2 linked regions of the Rattus norvegicus genome follow. The protein of the gene in region 2 purifies or fractionates together with the protein of the main gene of each other region. This does not show direct contact. Links are inferred from orthologs where the notes say so. Each region holds a gene or a part of one and is shown on either strand. Other genes may lie near its edges.

The links.
Region 1: the proteins of Rnf185 (region 2) and Tmub1 purify together in Homo sapiens (affinity purification with mass spectrometry; 5 studies listed by BioGRID and IntAct, with this or other methods). This does not show direct contact. The link is inferred for Rattus norvegicus from reciprocal best matches to the Homo sapiens genes RNF185 and TMUB1.

The regions. Positions count from the first base shown.
Region 1 is NC_086022.1:11,619,639-11,625,351, reverse strand, and holds Tmub1 (transmembrane and ubiquitin-like domain-containing protein 1), read right to left. Parts: upstream 3,422-5,713; 5' UTR 3,370-3,421; intron 3,239-3,369; exon of another isoform or gene 3,158-3,238; intron 2,998-3,157; exon of another isoform or gene 2,856-2,997; intron 2,360-2,855; 5' UTR 2,330-2,359; coding exon 1,944-2,329; intron 1,671-1,943; coding exon 1,319-1,670; 3' UTR 855-1,318; downstream 1-854. Other genes in the region: Fastk (fas-activated serine/threonine kinase), read right to left, coding at 458-539. UniProt on the Homo sapiens protein: Involved in sterol-regulated ubiquitination and degradation of HMG-CoA reductase HMGCR. Involved in positive regulation of AMPA-selective glutamate receptor GRIA2 recycling to the cell surface.
Region 2 is NC_086032.1:82,549,878-82,555,878, reverse strand, and holds the start of Rnf185 (E3 ubiquitin-protein ligase RNF185), read left to right. Parts: upstream 1-2,412; 5' UTR 2,413-2,519; exon of another isoform or gene 2,520-2,590; intron 2,591-2,902; exon of another isoform or gene 2,903-3,195; intron 3,196-6,001. UniProt on the Homo sapiens protein: E3 ubiquitin-protein ligase that regulates selective mitochondrial autophagy by mediating 'Lys-63'-linked polyubiquitination of BNIP1.

The sequences.
Region 1 (5,713 bases), on a different chromosome or scaffold from region 2:
AACAAGGCCCAGAGCGGCGGAGAGGTTAAGCCCGAGGTCATTCAAAGGGCTAGTGGTCGCACCCAGCCTGGAGCCCCGGTGGTCCCGGCGACGAGCCCTGCCGACCACCTCCCCCTCCCGCAGGAGGCGGCGGCGGGGTGGGTGGAACGCAGGCTCTGCAGCGGGCCGGTGCTGGGTCCCATGCTGGGCGCTCCCACTTACCAGCTGCGTGACCTTGGACTAATGTCTTCGCCTCTCTGCCTAAGCCTCCAAACTAGTGAAATGAGAACACAGCGCAACCTCGCAGGGCGCGCGCCGAGCCCGAGTGAGCCGTCTGCCAAGGCGCGGAGCTGATGCTGTCCGCGGGAGGGGCCCCCACACCCTGTCCCGGCCCCAAGAGGCTAGCAGTCCGTGGCCTCCACCACTAACACGAGCTCCCGCCGCCCAACCGAGGTCCGCCCCGCAGGCGCCACCCTACATGACTCCCCGGACCCCGCGTAGGTCACTCTCTCAGCAGGTCTCGGGGCCCGGGAGCCGGGCTCCCCCCGGGGCCTCCTCATCAGCGGGCCACTGAGTCCGCCATCTTCCCAGCAGCCCCCGGATCGTCCCCAGACACCAATCGCAGCCCGGCGCTAGGGAAGGGGAGACGTGGCTCCCGGCAGGCGCTGCGAGCAGAGGAGTCTCGAGCCCCGCCCTCCGCTTCCGGGAAGTGAGCATGTCGCGGGGGCGGGGCCACAGAACTTGTCGTGAAAGATGCAAAGAGCCGCGGTCCGCTGTCCAGCCCTGGGGTAGCTTGCGAACACAGGATCTAGGGCAGGTGCCATTTTCCTAGGACAAGGGCTCCCCACCCTCAAGCCCCACACAGACACACTAGGTGTGAAAACATCACAGTTTCTTTAATCTCCACAAATTCCAGAAAAACAACTCTCCCCCCCCTCAATTCCCCTTCGCCAGTCTTCACCAGTTTCCAATTCAGCCTAGGCATCTCTTTGAAACTAGATGTATCTTGATCCTCTGTCAGCACACTAAGATGGGCCCATTGGGGTGGTCTGGCTCTGTGCCAGGCCAAGGCAGCGGCAGCAGGTGCCTGATTCAGAAGAGCCCACTGTCAGAGAAGGCTGAGGGCCAGCAGCCCCAGGAGATGGCCCAGAGCTATGAAGATCACATGGGGTGGCCTCCGCTAACACCTGGAGTCCTCTGTTGCGCAAGGCTGGGCTCCAGGGTAGTGGGAAAAGACAGGCAGCGGGTGAGGTGGGCCTGGGCAGACAGCAGCTCCCTTTGCGCCTTGGGGAATGAGGTCCAGAGGGGCCGTCGACACTGCCAAAAGCCCGTGGAGGCACTACGGGCGATACATGGCAAAGGCCAGGAGACTGAGGAGCAGGGTGAAGCCGGCCAGGCCCAAGGTAGCGGTCAGGGGAAAGAAGGGCCGGTACTGGATCTGGCAGTACCAGAGCAGGAGCAGCAGCAGAAGCAGCAGGGGCAACAGAAGGCTGCCGATTTCCAGCCCGGAGGGGCCGGGCTCTGACCCCGGTGGGCAGGGAGGATGCGGGGGACCGACTCTTGTGGACACGTGGCAGTGGAGAACGCAGTTGGGGGGAAGGTGGAGACTGCCCAGTGTCTGGGTGTCGTCTCCTAGCAGTTGGCCTTGGTAGATGAGTCGAACCTGCTGTTCCCGGCCTGGAAACTGGGTTCTGAGGAGAGAGGGACCTGGGTAAGAAAGCAGGCCTCAGGCAATCCTGGTCCTTTGTTCAGAGAATCAATCCCAACTTTCACCCCTGCCCTACATCGGACCACCCAGATCCAGGCCTCTGAGGGGCTGATTGGAACAGGTTAACAGGTATGGCATGTAATGTGAGGAGACAGTTTTCTCAAACAGAAAAATGAGGGAGAATTTCATATGGTGGCCCTTCAATAGTCACCCACCCCATTTTTAACATTTTGTTCTCACCCTTTTCCAGGCTTACCTTTTCAAGGAGCCAATGGTGTCCTGAGGCCAGGCCCTGGCCACCTGTTCAGAGTCATTGAGAAATTTCAACCGTAGCAGTAAGGGTTCCTGTGGAGAGTCTGGAGGTGTTGATGCTGTGACCCCTGCCTCAGGCTCTGGCTGTGCAGATGGACCTCTGTGCCTCAGGCTGGGACTCTCAGCTCCTGGGGCCTCCTCTCTGATGCTATCAATGGCTGTCATGGCTTCACTGGGCTGTGCTGGTGTTGTGGTCCCTGACGACTGTGGTAGGGGATCTGTACTCTCAGTCGTATGTGTTGAGACCCAGGCGAGGGCCAGCACCAGAAGGCAGGCAAGCACCGAAAAAAGGACAGTCACCTCATCCCCTACGCCTTCAATCAAGGCCATGGCACCTGTGTTGCCAGAGGTGCTAAGGAGCTAGAGAGGTACAAAGAATTGGTGAGGGGCTGCTTTCTGGTCAGGAGTCATCCCAACTTCAACTGTCCGAGTTAGTCTACATTCTTGCCCACTCAGGATGAGGACTGGTCCAGCATCCTGTAGTCCCAAACTTGCCTTTTGGGTATGTCCCTTTCCATCACCAAGTTCCAAGACCTAACTTTGCTATCTGAGTTCTAGATCTTCATTCAGCTCCTGATTAACCCAAACCCTACATTCAAGAAAGGGCCTTGGGCTGGAGAGATGGCTCAGTGGTTACCAGGACTAGCCAGTTGCCTTTCCAGAGGTCCTGAGTTCAATTCCCAGCAACCACATGGTGGCTCGCAACCATCTGTAATGAGATCTGATGCCCTCTTCTGGTGTTTCTGAAGACAGCTACAGTGTACTCATAGATAAAATAAAGAAAGAAAGGGCCTTGCTTTTCTAACCAACCCTCTCCTTAAATTTAACCTTCATCAAACTTTACCCAAAAGCTTACCTATTCTTTGGTCCACTTCATCCCAAAGTTCACTCCTTCACCTATTTATAGTAAAGCTCATCTGACGCCCTGACTCCTAAGTTTCTCCGACAGAAGAGTCTCTATACCTCCCTGACTTCCCCCTTACCATCTACCCAAACCTCACCCACAACACAGACCGCTTTCCAAAGCTTCCTAGACAACCCCAAACGTCAAACTCCGCCCTTGGCCAATCTGGAGTCTACGGAGCTCAGTTGCCTACTCAGCTCGGCCCCTTCTCCGGGTCCACCCAAAGCCCATCCCGCAGCAATCCGACTCAGCACCTCCTGGGCGCCAAACCCAGAGGCCTCCAGACCCTTGATCTCTCGGGGCGAGCCTAGATTTAGCCTTCCCCACCCCCGACTGCTCCATCACTCCTCCCATCTGCCCGCCCCCCAGAGCTACTGGAGGGCACCAGCGATCTCGGGGCGGGGCAAGCAGGTCCCAGCTGTGGCCTGGGGCGACCGGGTGGGCGCGGCCACGCACAGAGACTCACCGCCCAGCTCCACCAGCTCCATTTCGGCTCCTCGGGCACTTCCGGGCCGAAGGCACCGAGGTCGCAGACACCTGAGGTCCCTCTCCTTCCCTGCTGCCGCGGCCCGGGAGCATTGTGGGGATTGTAGTTCGCCCTGTTTAGTTCCCGCCCTCCGCCCTGTGAACCCACGTGCCGGAATGGACCAGATGTTCCCGGTACCGGTAGATCTTCGATGCCCACGCGCCCCCACCCCCCGCCCTCCCCCTCAGAGAGGACCCAGGGGTTTTGCTTGTCCATAGAAGTTTGGTCAGCAGCGCAGCAAGAAACTCTATTTCCGCCGCCAGCTACTGGAGCATCTGTCACTCCTGACACCAACGTCAGTCTGCAGCACGTCAGAGCATCCGCGTTGGTGATACAGTGATGAAGGCTTTGGGGAGCGCAGGTGGCCACTACCCCAGTCTAGCCTGTATCACAGTGGACGTCAGAAAGCAGCTTGGTTTTCTAAACTGACTCTAGTCGAGGAGGCGTGAATTGCCCTCGCCACTTGCTAGGGAAGAGTGCCTGATCCCGGCTGTCTCCTTTTCTGGCCTGACCTCCACTGTGTCCCTATGAGATTGTAAAAGTGGCATAGACCTTGGAATAGAGCATACATCCTGAGGTCTCACGTAGACTCATCAGCTATAAAATGTCTGGTGGGTTATTTAATCTCTGAACAAGTATAATTCTTCTAGGTCAGTTGGAAAGAAGAAACGTAATGTTTTATTAAATAAGTATGACAGCTCTGTAAAATATATGTCACTATATTTTGCTCGCCTAGTATTAAAGCATCGGGTTCACCAAAACCTAAACTGAGAAATTGGCTAAGTATGGTGGCATAGCCCTGTAATCCCAGCACTGGGAGGTTGAGGTAATGATTAGGAGGTTTGAGACTACCTTTGGCCACCTAGAGAGACCCTGTCTTATTCCCCCCCACCCCTAAAAAAAGTGTTTCTGCATATAGCGATGGATCTGTGGTAGCTAATCTCTGTAGATTTTTCCTTGACTCCAGTAACTACAGAAATCTTGAATCCCCAGTTTTACAGACCAGCTTTTTTTTTCTTTTTCTTTTTCTTTTTCTTTTTCTTTTCTTTCTTTCTTTTTTTTTTTTTTTTTCGGAGCTGGGGACCGAACCCAGGGCCTTGCGCTTGCTAGGCAAGTGCTCTACCACTGAGCTAAATCCCCATCCCCGCAGACCAGCTTTTACTTGGGAGTTTGTGCATGCATGTATGTGTGTGTGTGTGTGATGCATACATGTGAGTGTACACATACAGGACTGGTCTCTGCTCCCTCTGCTAAGGTTGCAGGCAGAGGCTTCCATGCCTGGCTTTTGACATGAATACTGAGGAGTCAAATTGAGGTCCTTATGCTTGCAGAACAAGCCTCTAATTATTCTTTTAAAAGGGGGTTTGTATATTATATCTGCATGGGTGTTTGCCTAGAGTGATAGGCAGTTTTTAGGAGCCATGTAGATGTTGGGAACTGAATCAGGGTCTTCTGCAAGAGCAGCAACCGTAACAGGTACAGTCAGTGCTCTTAACCTCTGGGCCATCTCTCCAGCCCAATTCAACCCAGTCTGAATTAAAAATACTCTACTCTGGTCTTCTATGGATGGTGCTTCTGTTTAACTACTTCAGTTTTCAGATTAAGACCAGATCAAATATTGCCCTGGGCACATCAGTTTGGGTTTATAAAGTAAGTAACTAACTTGTCTCTAGTTTTTTCGTATTTCTTCATTTATGCTATATTTAAATATATATGTTTTATATGCTAGGTATTGTGCAAGATACTGAACATATAATGTTTTCCGTGCCTTCACTGATACATACACTAATAGAGGAATAGATATGTAGGCAGACAATCGATGAATGTTAAAGCAGGCAGGTGCTGGTGCCTGGGCAACACTTTGGAGCTTTTCCCCTTCAAGAAGTTCTGGGAGAACTTCTTCCTGCCAATTCTATCTAAGCATCTAACAGAGACGCTATGGGTGTGTGGGTTTGTTTGAAGTTTTGTTTTTGTTTTTCAGGATGGGGTTTCTATATGTAGCCCTGGCTGTCCTGGAACTCTTGATGTAGAGCAGGCTGGCCTTGAACTCACAGAGACCACCTACCTCTGCCTCCTCAGTGCTGGGATTGAAAGCACACATCTGCACCACCTGGCCAGAGTATTAGTATTAGTTTTAGAATTGTAAAGTACAAAAACTATAATTTTTTATGAGAAAAGCTGTATTTTCTGTTTAACTCCTTCAGTTTTCAGATTAAGACCAGGAAGTTGACAAGACATTCCTAAAGTCACACAGGTAGAAGCGTGAATCATTCAATAGTCTGAG
Region 2 (6,001 bases):
TCTCTCCAGCCCCCGAGTTTTTCTTTTCTTAAAAGAAAAAGATATATACTTTTTTTAATTTTATGTGTATGGGTGTTTTGCCTAGAAGCATGTGAATACACATGTTCATGCAGCACCTGAGGAAGGCAGAAGAGGGCGCCAGATCTCATGAAACTGGAGTTACATAAGGTTGTGAATTATTATGTGGTTCCTTGGAATCAAGCCTGGGTCCTCTGGTCCTGTCTTAACAGCTGAGCCATCTCTCTTTCCTTCCTTCCTTCCTTCCTTCCTTCCTTCCTTCCTTCCTTCCTTCCTCCCTCCCTCCCTCCCTCCCTCCTTCCTTCCTCCCTCTCCCCCTCCCTCCCTCCCTCCCTCCCTCCCTCCCTCTCTCTCTCTCTCTCTTTCTCATACACTCTCTTTCTCACACACTCTCTCTCTTTCCCTCCCTCCCTCCTTCCGTCCCTCCCTTCTACCCTCTCTTTTGGTTTTTTTTGAGACTGGGTTTCTCTGTGTAGAACTTGCTGTCTTGAATTTGCTCTGTAGACCAGGCTAGCCTCAAACTCACAAAGATCTGCCTACCTCTGCCTTCTGAGTGCTGGGATCAAAGGCATGCACCGCCACCACCTGCCCTTTTCCATATCTCGATTAAGCAATCTAATTCTATCCCATGCCTAGTTTAAAAGATGTGAGTTTTTCTCCATCTCCTGGCAGCTGTTGGCGTTTTCAACTAGCCTTTATTGCTTTCCTCAAACTCTAACAAAGTTATCCTTGGGCTTCCTTTTAGCCCCTTCTAAATTCTTGTATAAATAATACCAAAGAACCCCCAAGAGAATCTTACTTTTTCCAGGAACAGAAGGAGAGGAGTACTCTGACGGTCCCCTTGGGTCCTCCACAGAGGAGCTAAAACTAGAGACTGATAAGGTCATGAACTCTGGAGAGAGGGTGCAGGCTCACCTGCCACCTTTGGGCTTTCACACTAGCAAGCTGAAAGCCATCCGGTGCAGGATACTTTAAGGCTGGTGTGCCAGCCCCACCTCAGCTTGCACACAGGGATGCTACCACTCCTGCTTGTCCAAGGCCAGGATGGAAGATCCCTCTTGTTCTACAGAATGAGGTGTGCCTGCTCTGTATCCCCCACCCTCACTCCCGAAAAAGCACAGCTGCACGGCAAAGGCATTCACCTGCACTGAACTAACTTTTTTTATACATTGAAAGTTAAAACATCAATTTTTCTAGTCACTTTTTAAATATAAAAAAAATGCACTTGCTACTGTAAAAAAAAATCCCTCTTTGGTCACAAGCTCATCTAATCAGTTTTAAAATAAAATAGTTTTAAAATAAATTAAGATGTATTTATTAAGTGTATCTGTACACATGTGAAGGTCAGGTGATAACTTGCCAGACTCCTTCCCCCCGGTGGGTTTCTGGGGATTGAACTAGAATTGACAGGTTTGGCCTCAAGCATCTTTACCTGCTGAACCAACTCACGGGGCTCCAGTTAGTTATACTCTTACTATCTTTATTATTTTGATACTGAAAATTCACGGACTTGGCTAGTAGAGTCTTCAAGAGAGCTGTGTCGTTTTACCCATTCCCATTCATCACCACTGTTAGCGTTCCTTCTAGGCTCCGCCCACAGTTACCTGGCAACAGCCAGGTGTGCCTGGCTTACTATAAACGGGGCTGTTCGCCCCTTCTCTCCTTCATAGTCTTTGCTCCTTCTCTCCCTGGCCCCTTTCTCCCCTTCTCTCTCCCTCCCTCCCTCTCTCCAAGCGTCCCTGCCCGGCCTCTTCTCTCTCCCTCCTCCCTTCCCAACTCCACTTCCCATGCCCTAAATTAACTATTCCAAACTATATCCGTGGTATGGCTGGTGCCTCACGGGGAAGAGATGCCTAAGGATGGGCCCGCTGAGGCACCCTTCCCACCTCACCAGCGCCTCTACCAAAACATATCCTGGCCTCTTTTTTTTTTTTTTAAATAAAACAGAACAACCACTGCCTACATTCTAATACAAGGCATTCTAAGCTGGTATCTCTAGGACTTTTTTTTTTTTAAAAGCAAGGAAGGAAGCCCTTTCCGCCCATTTTTTTGCGACACGGTCTCACGTATCCCAAGCCTGCTTTGAAAACCATATTGAAGTTCTGATCCAGCACCCGAATGAATGATGTGATTAACTGGAGTGCAAACACACATTTATTCCCAAGTCCTCACGCAGGCGAAGCAAGCAAGGCCACCCATTGAACTACTTTTCCTCCTCCAGGAAACACTGGGAAAAGGCCGAAAGCCCTCCCCTTCCTGTCCCGGGGCGGAACTTAAGAACCCGGCGCCTGGGCCGGAACGCAGTGCTGCCACACCAGCCTTTTCCGGCTGTAACCGGAAGTTGCTCTAATAGAGGTGGCTCCTTGTCAGGTGATCAAGATCCGGGTAGGAGGGTTCGGAGGTTCAATCTTCCTGACTGACGCGTCTCTAAGACTGGCTTGTCCACTGTGGGACAGGGGAACGGACTGGTGGCGTCGCTGGCGCTCGCTCTACGGGGACAGGTACGTGACGAGCTAGGACGGCGGGCCCGGGAGGCGTGGGACCCCCTTCCGGGGCTCAGGGACAGAGGCACCTGAAACCAAGGATCAGGAGACAGCTAGTCTGGCTCTGTCCAGGTCCCAGAAGAAAGATCAGACTGGCATTCCTGGGTACAGATTGGGCAAACTAGGGCCCAAGAAAAGGGAAGGGCGCGCTCAAGCTCCTTGCCAGGCAGGGGCTCGCCCTGACTCCCTCTTAGCCTCGGGGGCGGGACTGTCTCACGTGGGTAGTTAGTGATTTGGTTGAGTGGAGAGATGAGGAGCTTGGTGAACAGATTTGGGATGAAGCGTAGGAGACCTGGACTTGAGTTCGCTGCTAATTGTGCGTTCTAGGCCAAGTCCTTTACCTCACTGAACCTAGTTTCCACACTTGTCCAACCGGGCACTGCTTCTCAAAGCATGATCCTTAACAGCGCCTGCTCTGAAATCCTCTGGGATGCGGGCTCTTCAGCCCTGGACTTTCCCGACAGCTTGTTTCGAATCTGGGTTTGGATCCTAGGAAACCTTCTTTTGAATGTTCTCCTCGGGAGTCCTATACCTACTGGTGTTTCATCTGAAATGCTGTCCCGCTGTGAATGCGGTATTCGATTCGAGGCAGCTGGAGCCCGTTGGAATCTTTGAGACTTCTAGCTTAGGAAAGAACGCCGGAGGAGAATAACTATCTTTAAAAGCTGGCGCGGGGTGGGGGGATTGGGTGGATGGGTTATATCAAAGAGGGCTCCCGCTTAATCTTTGCAGCTGAAAGAGATACAGCTAGGATTAAATAGGTGGGTTCTAGGGGAAGACAAATGTGTACATAGTAATAAGAATTTAACGGAAGACTTATCAGAGGTGACCACTGATAGGATTGACTGTCTCCTTGTGAAAGAAAGTATACAGGAGGTGGTCCTTTCCAATTCGAAAGTCTTTTATTCTGAGTATTTATTGTGAATCTATCTTTCCATGGATAACTCTCTCTTCGGAATGTTTGTGACACTTCTTTTGTGGTCTGAGACAGGATATCGAAGATCTCAGGCTGTCCACAAGCTCCTCTTGCAATTCAAATTGGCCTTGAACTTCTGATCCTCCTGCTTCAGTCTGGAGTGCTAGCATCTCTCGTTACTTAGTACCATTATGCCTGTTGAATGTGACATTTCTTTGTTTGCCTTTCTTGAGCTCTCCTCCTTAGTCTCTATCTCTTGTCAGTGAGGCCAGCACACTTGATCTTATGTAATCTTTTCCTGGTTGTCACATTTGCCATCCTTTTCAAGGACTTTGGAACGACTCATCTGATAAAAAGTATCTGAAATGTATGTCGTATTAATAAACCGGGATCCATTGCATTGGTTAGTAATTTTTTGTTTCATGTTTAATTTTTTTTTTTTTTACTTTATTTTAAGTCAGGCTCTCACTCTGACACTCAGCCCAGGCTGAGGACAATTTAGGTCAGTCTCTGTTTGCCTTGTCTGTGTCTGTGTCTCTGTTTCTGTCCCTGTCTCTCTCTCTCTCTCTCCCTCTTACTCCCTCCATCTCTCTCTCCCTTTTCCAGAGTATCAATATGTAGCCCAGGGTGACCTTAAACTCATGGTCTTCCTGCCTTAGCCTCCCAAATGTTGGGATTGCCCGTGTTCCCCAAGGCTCTGCTTGCCAGTGAACTCCGATTACAGAATGGATGTCTGACTGCGGTTGTTTGGGTCAGTCTTCTCCATGGTTTATAAACTGAACTTTAATTCTTTCTCTAGCAGTGTGTGTACAGATGTGAGAGAATGTCTGCAGTTTGTAAGCTAGCTATACATCCAGCATATATGACCAATTCTTTTATGGCCCTGACTTGCACACCTAGACTTTTCTAATCTAACATTAGATTTCCTTACTTTGCACTTTACCAAACACGAAGTAGATCTCTTCCATTTCCTGATAGAGTACTTAAGAATGCTTATGTTGTCTGGAGAAGCAAAGGTTCCATATTATGACCCGATTCTGCTGACACTTCCTCCACAAAACAAAAGGTTGGGGCTGATCCAAAAGTTCTTGCCTGTTTTCCTGTTGTTTATGTTTCTCAAGATTGAAAAACAAAAGTTGTGAAACGGTCATTCAGTTGTTACCTAACATTCAAGATAGTATGGCCTTAGACTCAGGTGTCCTCAGTGGTGAGGAGAATACTCTTAATTTGTTGGATTTTAAAACTTATTAATTTGAGAATTTCTTTTAAAGGGACACTTGATATAAGTGAAAATGGGATTTGGTGGTAAAAATAAGTTCAGGAAAAGCTACTGACCTTTATCCTTTCTTAGTGTTTTAATGCAAGTACCACATTAAAGGCACGGAGAGTTCTCACAATAAAAATTTGGGGCTTTATAATAAGCTGGCATAATAAAATGTTTTGCTTGCTTGGTGTTACCAAATTTATTTGGTATAGAACCTCTTTTTTTATATCCTTAGCCCAGGGCCTTCCTTCGTAGTATCCAGGGTGGCTTCAGACTCCTCTCCTGCTCCAGCTTCCTAAGTACTGGATTGCTGAGGTGGCTCCCACACAGCGTTACTTTTATGTTTTGTTGTTGGTTTGTTTGTTTGTTTGTTTGTTTTCTTTGTCTTTTTGTGTGTTTTCCAGACAGAGTTTCTCTATGCAACAGCCCTGGCTGTCCCGGAACCCTCTTTGTAGACTAGGCTGGCCTCAAACCCATAAAGATCTGCTTACCTCTGCCTCGACAACACCAAGATAAAAGGCATGTGCTCTGTATTTTTTTATTGAAAAATGAGTCAGCAAATTCTGACCTGAAACTTTGGCTTGTAGGCCAAATCTAGCCTTATGGCTATTTTTTCACATAGCCTCAAAGCTAAGAATGACAGCCGCCCCCCCTCCCTCCACACACTCCCAAACCCCCGTCCAGGCTGATCTCAAATTTGTGGTGAGCCTATTGTCCAAGTGCTAAGATTACAGGCATATATCATGCTTGCCTGGCTTTAAATCTCTGGTGTTTGAGGGAGGCTGCGTATGTGTGCACGGGCACTTGTTTGCTTTCTGATCTATTTACCTATTTACTTTTTTTATTTTGAGCCAGAGTCGCCCCTTGAGCCTAGTGAGGCTGGCTGGCTGGCAAGCTCCCAGGATCTTCCTGTCTCTTCCCTCGTCCTCAGTGATAAGGCACAGATATGTGTTGCAGTGCCCAGCTTCTACCAGTGCTCTGGGAGTCTGAGCTCGGATCCTAATGCTCGTGCAGCAGCTCTGACCAGTCAGCCATCTTCCCATCGGGAACTAAATTGAAATAATAATCCCAGCACTTGGGAGGCAGAGTCAGATGGATTTCTAGAGGCCAGTCTGGTCTTTTGAGTTTCAGGGCAGCCAGAACTACGTAGGGAAACCCTGTTTCAAAATCTTAAAACCAATCAAACAAACAAAGCAAGCATACATACATACATGTATATACACATGCATACACTCTCTCGTGCTACTGATTTACATCTCC